Neurospora crassa OR74A: one gene and its partner. The protein of the gene in region 1 interacts with the protein of each later gene in a pairwise test. Links are inferred from orthologs where the notes say so. Each region holds a gene or a part of one and is shown on either strand. Other genes may lie near its edges.

Region 1 (4,469 bases):
TCCTCAGACAGAGAGGTGCTGAGTATCTGAGTATCAGAAACAGCAAGGTGTGTTGTGCAAAATGTGTTAGACATGTACTTCGGATAAACGGAATGAGATTCGGGTCGTGATGGAGAATGATGTCGATCTGGCGGACATCAAAACAAGGAAATGCTAGTGATGGTCTTATTACCTGAGCTGGCTGGCTTGGGTCTGTCCACCGTCTCCGTCTCCTTTCGGAAGCATAATTCAGCACTGCACAGGATGGATGGATCTGGCTGCGAAAAGGGCCGTGGGCGGGCAGTGGGCACTTTCATTGCCCTGGCGGGATGCAGGTCCATTGGAGAAGTTGGTGTGAAGGTCCGGTCTGTGGGTGTTCGGCCGTCCCAATCAACGGCCCCACTCTCTCGCGTTATCCGATGTACCTGACCAATCGACGGCATGTCTCCCCCTTCGAGGCCATCCCCAGGGGCAGCACACCCCCCCAGCTGCGACGTCGGTTTCTCACATGGCCTGAAAGTAGGTTGCCCCTCCCTGCAATGGATGGGGGACCCCATGGAAGCACCAAAGCGATTTCTTCTTTTGTGAGAATGTTGATTTTGAGGTTGCTTTGTCGAATGCGACAGCCTCCTCCTCCTCCTATCTTTGTTGTTGGTCCTGTGGTGGTGGTGGGTGCAGGTGGCCGCCAATTCGCTCGTCGCGTGAAATCACCCAACGGCGCCGTCCATCAATGCCCCGTTGCGCATGTTAACACGCTCCTTTATACATTTCGAGTCGGCGTCCAGTAGGTGGCGATGGAACTGTGCACGGGGGTCCATGCCTGTGAGCCAAGTGTTTCTGGTTCCTGATTTCGAGGCCGGTAAAGGCGAATCTGCAACAGACATCCCCGTCACCTGCCCTGCTTCCCGTCTCCTTCTCATTGTTTCAGGGACATGGAGGTGCAATATCGGAATACATGGTGGATGAACCCCTTGGAGTGTAATGTCGACCTGGAGGTGGTGGGCGATACCTAGCCCAGACGGCGACCCTGTCCCTCCGAACCCTTTTGAAGTCTGAACCCTTCCACTTCTCGCTGTTGGAACCTTTCCTTTTCCGGTCCCCTGCTCCACCATGGACTACAATCCATGCCTCTTGTTATCGACAATTGCACTTGTTCATTCGAGCTGTTTTGACTCTGAGACGGACCGCCGATTCTCTTTGGGTATTGGATCTTTTTAGCGTGCTTGGTTCGGCACTCAGCTCGAGACACAAGACATCATCTCCTTTTGTTTCGTACCAGCTCAACCACGCTCCTTTGAAACTGAAGGAAGTACCTGACTTGAGGTTATCTTGACGGATTTAGCTGCGGTTTTATCTCTACATCCATCCCTCTCTGGCTTAGCCTCCACTGCGTAATGACGCGGTAATTTACCTCCACAGCTAGGTACACTACCTCTACGGACGCAGGCGCCCCCTACCTACAAACCCAAAATACTATCGCCAGGTCCCTGGCCGGCTAGACTCCACAAGACTATACCGTATCTTGTCGTATCGAGCACTGCACCCACCACCAGGGCACGGCAACACTGCAACCACTGCAACTGCGATTTTTCGCTTCAAGCAAAGTTCCCACCCACGCGTTTCTTCCCCCTCTTTTCCCTCTCCACAGTTTCACCTTCCACTCACAACTCAACCTCTCTTGGTCTCCTCAGACCGATCGAGGCGGTCTCTCTTTTTACCTCTAGCCAAACTCGAGTCGAGCGCGGCTTGACCACAATCTCACCATCCGTCGCCTTGCACATTTGTCCCCAAATCTGCCAAATTTCCTACTGCATTCTTGTGCATTCCGTCGTGCTGCATCCCCCAGCGCGCAGTGCACGTCAAAGCAGCCCAGGGCAGCCAGGTCTCGCCCCCCCCCCCCCCCAAAAGAGAGAGAGGCCCAACCGGAAGTTTTGCGCTGGGGCCCTCCCGCAATTCGAAAAAGGAACCCGACCAACGAACGGTCCCTCCAACCGAACCCGTCCATTCCTCGCATTGCACCAAGTGAAATCCATCGGCCTACCACCACGAAACGACGCAGGCCCCTAACATCTGTCTAGCACCTATAGACGCCAACGACACCCAGCGTTTCGAACCGTCCGATCAGTCTCTTTCTTTGTTCACATTACAGCAACAACAATCACCTCGACGCCCGCTTCCGTTGCCTCATTCTGCTCGAGACGCATCTTGCAATTACGACGGACGGACCGCGTCCAGCTACAAGTCGACCGCCTCTCGCTTTTCCCCGCTACCCTGCGACTGTGAGGCCCCAATTGCTCTCGAACTTTGTTGACTTTGATCCGTCACGACATTCGCTTGCCTCCATCCACTGCGTCGGCTACATCGACGTTACTCCCGAAAGGATAATATTGTGGCGCTCGCTGGACGACCATTGCTTTCGCTCCCTGCCGAAACCGTCTTCGTGCGACCTTTGTGGACGTCGACCGTCGCTCCTTTCGCAATCTCTTGGCACCCTAATCTCCATCAGCGTGTCCCAGCGGGACCACGCTCAACGTCGAGCCGACCTCAGTCGCGCGACCCATCAATCCTCAGTACAGAATAGAGCAACACTCTTTGCAATCCTTTTCATTCGGGCCACGCGTCTGACCCTCTCGACACCTCATCGTCACCCGCCACATTTGCCAGAATGTCTGTTATGTTGCAGACACCTTCTCGAGCTTCTACCGGATCCACCACTTCCTTCCACCCTCTCTCCCGACAAAACACCATGTCTTCCTACGAGGGCTCGCGGTCTACCCGCCAGTCCAAGCGGTATTCCATGTCGGCCTTGTACATGTCCATGTCCGCCAATGACTCCGATCTCATAATCGAAGATGAGCTTGCTAGAGGTTAGCAGTCCATGTGCACCTACTCGGTCGAAGACGCATACTAATTCCCTGGCCACAGCGCAAAAGGTGCTGCGGGATCTCAAGACCAAGATCTCCTCGCAATCCAAAAAGAATTTCGTACTTGAGAAAGATGTCCGCTACTTGGACTCGCGTATTGCCCTGCTGATCCAAAATCGCATGGCTTTGGAAGAGGTAGGCCTACCTCAGCAACTTCTTTCTGTAAACGATATACTGACCTGCAATACAGCAAAACGAAGTCGCCAGTCACCTCGAAGACGCAACCGATATACAAGAGGGCGCCTTCCCCAACGATGACAAGACACAAAAATACGGAAACCTGCTCTTCCTGCTACAATCGGAGCCCAGGCACATTGCGCATCTGTGTAGGCTTGTCACCATGGCCGAGATTGATTCACTGCTTCAGACGGTCATGTTCACCATCTACGGAAATCAATACGAGAGTCGCGAAGAGCATCTGCTCTTGACCATGTTTCAGGTTAGCTTGTGATCCTCCTTTGTGTTGCTACCTAGGAAATTCGCTAACCATGCCGTAGTCTGTCCTCACCTACCAATTCGACAATACGCCTGAATACTCTTCGCTTCTTCGCGCCAACACCCCGGTCTCGAGAATGATGACGACATACACGAGGAGAGGTCCAGGCCAGAGCTTTTTGAAATCGGTTTTGGCTGATAGGATCAACAGCCTGATTGAGCTCAAGGATCTGGACCTCGAAATTAACCCGCTCAAGGTCTATGAGCGCATGATTGAAGAGGCCGAAGCGAAAGACCCTGAGAGTCCCGAGGCGATGCTCCCCAAGGGGATTACGCAGGAAGAGGCCGCTGAGAACCCCAAGGTTCAGGAGATCATCAATCCGCGGCTGACCATGTTGACAGAGATTGCCAATGGATTCTTGGAAACCATCATCGATGGGCTCGAAGAAACCCCTTACGGAATCCGGTGGATTTGCAAGCAAATTCGGAGCTTGACAAAGAGGAAATACCCCGATGCCAATGATCAGATCATTTGCACGCTCATTGGCAGTTTCTTCTTCCTGCGCTTCATCAACCCAGCAATCGTCACACCCAAGTCGTATATGCTCATCGACGGCACACCTGCCGACAAGCCGAGAAAGACGCTCACCTACGTCGCAAAAATGCTCCAGAACCTGGCCAATAAGCCCTCATACGCCAAGGAACCGTACATGGCCAAGCTACAGCCTTTTATCCATGCCAACAAGGACAAGGTCAACCGATTTATGCTCGAACTGTGCGAGGTGCAAGATTTCTACGAGACACTTGAGATGGACAACTACGTCGCCCTTTCCAAGAAGGATTTGCAGCTGGACATTACGCTCAACGAAATCTACGCTATGCACGGATTGCTCGAAAAGCACGCTGGTGAGCTGTACAAGGACGAGAACTCCCATCTGGCCATCATCATGTCAGAGTTGGGTACTGCTCCACCTCAGGTGCCGCGAAAGGAGAACAGGGTCATCAATTTGCCGCTATTCAGTAGGTGGGAAACGGCCATTGACGATCTGACCGCCGCCCTGGACATTACCCAAGAAGAGGTCTTCTTTATGGAAGCGAAGTCGATTTTTGTGCAGATTTTGCGAACGATCC
Region 2 (4,383 bases), on another chromosome or scaffold:
TTCAGCATTCTTCTTTACCTAAGACTGGTCGCCGCTTGCCTTGATATCCATTTGTCGAGTCATATGCTTGCTGTCTATCATTTGTCAGCTGCGTGTGCTCAGGTTGTTTGTTACCGGAAAAGGCTTCAGCCTTGTTGGGTCATATGGCCATTTGGTCATAGGTATGCAAGGCCGATGTGTCCCGGCAGGAATCACTTATTGCAGTGAGAACTACCTAGACGAGCAGCTGTGGACTCTCAACAGTCCATGCCCGTGGATTCCAGACATTACAGCCATGCGTATCACGACATTGGAGCACCTCATAAATACTTTCAAGATACTTGAGACATACGAATAACGGGAGGAAACACACTCGGACCAGGCACTAACGAAGACAACGAAAAAAGGCAGAAGGTTTGATAAGAATGAATTACAAATAAACGGTTTTCTTTCGAGAGTTTGCAAACCCAGTATCGATCAGAATCCCCACCATGACATAACATCCATAGCAAGTACAGTTCTCTCGCGGATAAACGACTCCCAAAATGTGTAAAGTGAAAAAAGGTAGCAGAAAGAAGTATTTGATCACAAAATCCGCGGATCGTGAAACACGGACAGAAACGTGCCAACAAAACCCCCAGACAGACCAGACCAGACCAGATAGAACCAGGATTATACCAAACCAAAACCAACCAACCCCTTCGCCGAACCAACCAGACCGAACCCAGCCTTCCCTTCTTCCCTCGGCGACCTCTTCCAGACGCTGATAGAGAAACCGACCACGCCTCACGAACGCCAAGGAGCGGATTGTAGCAGCGGCGGTGTGATATTAAAAACCCAGCGGCCGGTTGGTAACTGAAAGCAACTTTTTCAAGTCGCTCAGCTCATCCGCATAAGTGCCACTGCAACAAATGCCCACAAAATGCAAAGAATGTGTGTGCCCGGTCCCGGTTCCTAACCCCCTTCTCGCCTGAATTTCTCCAAACGCGGATATTCCTTCCGCTGGTCCCGTGGTCCTGAGCCCGACTGGTCACCGTACGTGAGCTAAGGTATGGGCGTGGCCGTCCGATATGGCTTTTGTGTTTCGGTTGTTTGCACATCCATGTCGTCTATAAAGTCCGGATTTTGTGTGCGTGTGTGCGTGTGTGTGTGTGTGTGTGTGTGTGTGTGTGTGTGTGTGTGTGTGTGTGATCGTCCATCTCTTCATTGCAAACGTGTCCCAATTCTTTTAACTCCCCGCTTGCTCTTCCCCTGTTGGTTTCGATCATTCACATCATTATGCACTTGGCGCAGCAGCCTGCTTGGACGTCCTCGTCACCGACGTCCATCTGCTTAACTGCCCCATTGTTGTTGGCGAATGAGGTGCCGCCGACCTTCTCGCCGAGCTTCTTGTCCTCTTTCCTGATTTCGCGGACGAGATCGTAGAAAGCGTTCTCAACGTTGTGTTGTGTCTTGGCGGAAGTCTCGATGTACTTGGTACCGAACTCGGCGGCAAGAGCTTGTCCCTCTGTTGTCAAGTGTTGTCAGCGTACTGTCCTGGCCCTCGCAAGGATGAAGAAGTGAAAACCTACCCTGTTCCGAAACAACGCGCTCTCCCCTCAAATCGTACTTGTTTCCGACGATGATCATGGGGAACGAGTCCCTGTCCTTGACCCTAAGAATCTGTTGCTGGTAGATTCTGATTTCCTCAAAGCTTTCCCTCGAGTTGATGGCGAAAACGAGCAGGAAGCCTTCACCAGTGCGCATGTACTGCTCGCGCATGGCGGAGTACTCTTCTTGGCCGGCGGTATCTAGAATGTCGAGAAGGGCGACCTCATTGTCGATGGTGCATTGCTTGCGGTACGAATCTATTGAGCTCAAGTTAGTCCACGGTTCACTAGGCCACAACCACGACCAAGAAAATTGGAACGTGGATTGAGAGGGTCCAGGTTGTAACGCACCCTCGATTGTAGGATCATATTCGTCAAGGAAGTGACCCTGGATTAGCTGGATGGTAAGGCACGATTTACCGACACCACCGCCACCGACAACCACCAGCTTGTATTCTCTTGTGAACTGCGTAAAGGGGAAGAGAGCGATGTCAGCCAAATGAATTGCCGCAGGCAATTGAAACCAAGAGTACGCCTCAATCGAGGAGGGCGAAATAATGCTGGCTGGCGGAGCGACTTACCTTGTTGGCCATTGTGGCTATTGATTAAAGAAGATGTAAAATGTAAAAGGATGGAAAAAGTCGAGATGCCGACACGAGGGGGCAAGATTGAATGGCCTCCTCAAATGATTAAATGGTTTAAGTCGCTCGCGCAACGGTGCAGACAAACGTCACTGGGTGGTGAAGACAGCCCTCAGGGGGGATCCTGGATGCGAAGGCGGGTAGAATTAAAGGTCGAAGGATGGGATGGCGACGATGGCTGTAGAAGGAGGAAGCGAGGTTCCTTGGAAGAAAGCGTGTTGTCAGGGGAAGCGCGCAGTCTTGACGACGGAGAAGCGAGCGAGCGAGCAGAAGCGGAAGTGGAAGTGGAAGTGGAAGTGGAAGTTGAGGTGAGCCGGACGGCAAGTGGTGGGAAGTTGTTCGGGTGGTGGTTGCGGTGAATTGAGCGGCGGGTGCGCAGAGTGCAGTGCAGCAGAGTGCAGCAGCCGGTGTGGAGACGAGCAAGCAGGAACGACGAGGAAACGAGCCACTACTGGCCGATGATCAGTGCTGCCCAGGGATCCCGTCCGTCTCTGTCTTAGGGGAGGGAGGCTACAAGCTAGTGGTACATACCTGCTAGGTAGAGGGAGGGGCGCTAGTAGATTTGCAGAAGCTGCGGTAGGGAGAAAGCGGAAGTCGGCCGACTGGTAGGTAGGTAGGTAGGTAGGTAGGTAGAAGTTGTACAGTATGGATGGAAGGAGGGTTCTTGGTTCGTTGGATATCGGGCGATTAGAGCTAAGAAAATTCTGTCGACAGAAAGAAAATGGTGGTTGCTGGCTGGCAAGGGACAGGAAACGCGGCGATGAAGAACCACAAACGGTGCTTTTCTCTCCAGTTTGTGACGTGGGAAAAATAAGAAAAGGGTCGAGGTTGGACAGCAGTCGCGAAGAAGGAAAGAAGATGGAAACGCCAGATGGGAAATGGCGTGAGCTACGGAATATTGCCTGCTCAAAGAAGTGTGGGTTTGCTGGCCGCGAAATGGAGAGCTGCAGGCAAAAGGACTCTTCCTGGTCTTGTTCTCACACTGTCCGTCTTGGTGAACTGAGTGAGGTTGCAAGGGAAATAGGTGCTGTAGCTTCAAGGGGTAGCCAAGACCCGGCGATGCACGGGCGCCCAAGTGGTGGTGGACGTGCCCCAAAAAGGAGATGGTCGCTCATGGTTCGAGCTCGTTTCTGGGGCAGGCAGGGCTATGGCCCGATTGATTGGCCGACGGAGCTTTAGTTCAAGTTCAGTTCTCTTCTCGCAGCGCCCAACCGGGAGGGTTCAGGAAAGGCAGTTCAACATCCACACTGTATATCACAGAAGTGGAAGTCCGTCACGACGGACGGGGGCCGGGGCCTTTATCGCTCGCCTTTGTTGAATGTCCACTTTCTCTATCGATCATTTGGGAGGACGGAGGCAAGGCGGTCACGGGCAAAACTGTATTGTCTGATGGTTGGAATAGATCATGGCGTCGAGATGCGATTTCCGTCTGCTTCACTCATGTGTGATGACTGTACGCACCGAACATCAGTATCTCACCATCCGACCAATGCCCGGCGCAAACCTCGACGATAGCAGGGCAGGTAATCATCCAGATCCTGCTTGGGCGCCGACACCGTCTCTCCGTCTAGACATTTCCGTCCTAGTCGTCCCACGAGCCCCAGTTCTCGATGGGCCATTGCAAATTACCCCTACGACGCTGGACGTGGACTCGACTCGCCAGTAGCCGACCGCTTCTGCTTGCGGTTCCCGAGCCTCTTCATCCACGTCCCTGGGACCGTTTTGTCTCACTCTCTTGCTATCTCCATTCCTCCTTTTCTTATTTCCTTGGGACAAGGCATCCACTCCCCGTGTTTCGACATAAGGCAACAGCAGCACACATACCGTAACCAGCACGGCGGTTCAGCCTTGAGCCCTAAGTAGCCTTTCGGTCCAAGGGATCTGGACTTGCGTTGGAAGGAAGATCACCAATCTCGAATCATGATGACCAACCAGAACATATGCACAGCTCTTCCCCAAAGACGGCACAACCCCCACTCTGTCTTCTCACCTCAGCCAACGACTATGGTATATACCGAGTTAGGCGGCACAGCATGCAAGTCAGCTTCTAGGTACGGCACGTCCCTGCCACGAACTGGCACGACCTAGCTCCTGGGCACATTGCTCAAGAGCCTCACCACCACCATGTCAAAGGATCGCAAAATCGTGACATTGAAAAGGTACCCGATCATTGT

Evidence for each region.
Region 2: the proteins of NCU06122 (region 1) and bd interact in a two-hybrid assay, tested with the Schizosaccharomyces pombe proteins (2 studies listed by BioGRID, with this or other methods). The link is inferred for Neurospora crassa OR74A from reciprocal best matches to the Schizosaccharomyces pombe genes gap1 and ras1.

The regions. Positions count from the first base shown.
Region 1 is NC_026507.1:1,732,595-1,737,063, reverse strand, and holds the start of NCU06122 (GTPase activating protein Sar1), read left to right. Parts: upstream 1-1,564; 5' UTR 1,565-2,644; coding exon 2,645-2,846; intron 2,847-2,904; coding exon 2,905-3,038; intron 3,039-3,093; coding exon 3,094-3,342; intron 3,343-3,400; coding exon 3,401-4,469.
Region 2 is NC_026504.1:5,116,757-5,121,139, forward strand, and holds bd (Ras-like protein), read right to left. Parts: upstream 2,924-4,383; 5' UTR 2,815-2,923; coding exon of another isoform or gene 2,781-2,814; 5' UTR 2,741-2,780; intron 2,658-2,740; 5' UTR 2,518-2,657; coding exon of another isoform or gene 2,384-2,517; 5' UTR 2,162-2,383; coding exon 2,150-2,161; intron 2,035-2,149; coding exon 1,920-2,034; intron 1,827-1,919; coding exon 1,551-1,826; intron 1,487-1,550; coding exon 1,248-1,486; 3' UTR 292-1,247; downstream 1-291. Other genes in the region: NCU08822 (hypothetical protein), read left to right, coding at 2,384-2,517, 2,781-2,814, 2,924-3,388. UniProt on the Schizosaccharomyces pombe protein: Participates in the process of sexual differentiation and the determination of cell shape. Essential for mating and for recognition of the mating pheromone, but not for vegetative growth. Does not regulate the intracellular cAMP level.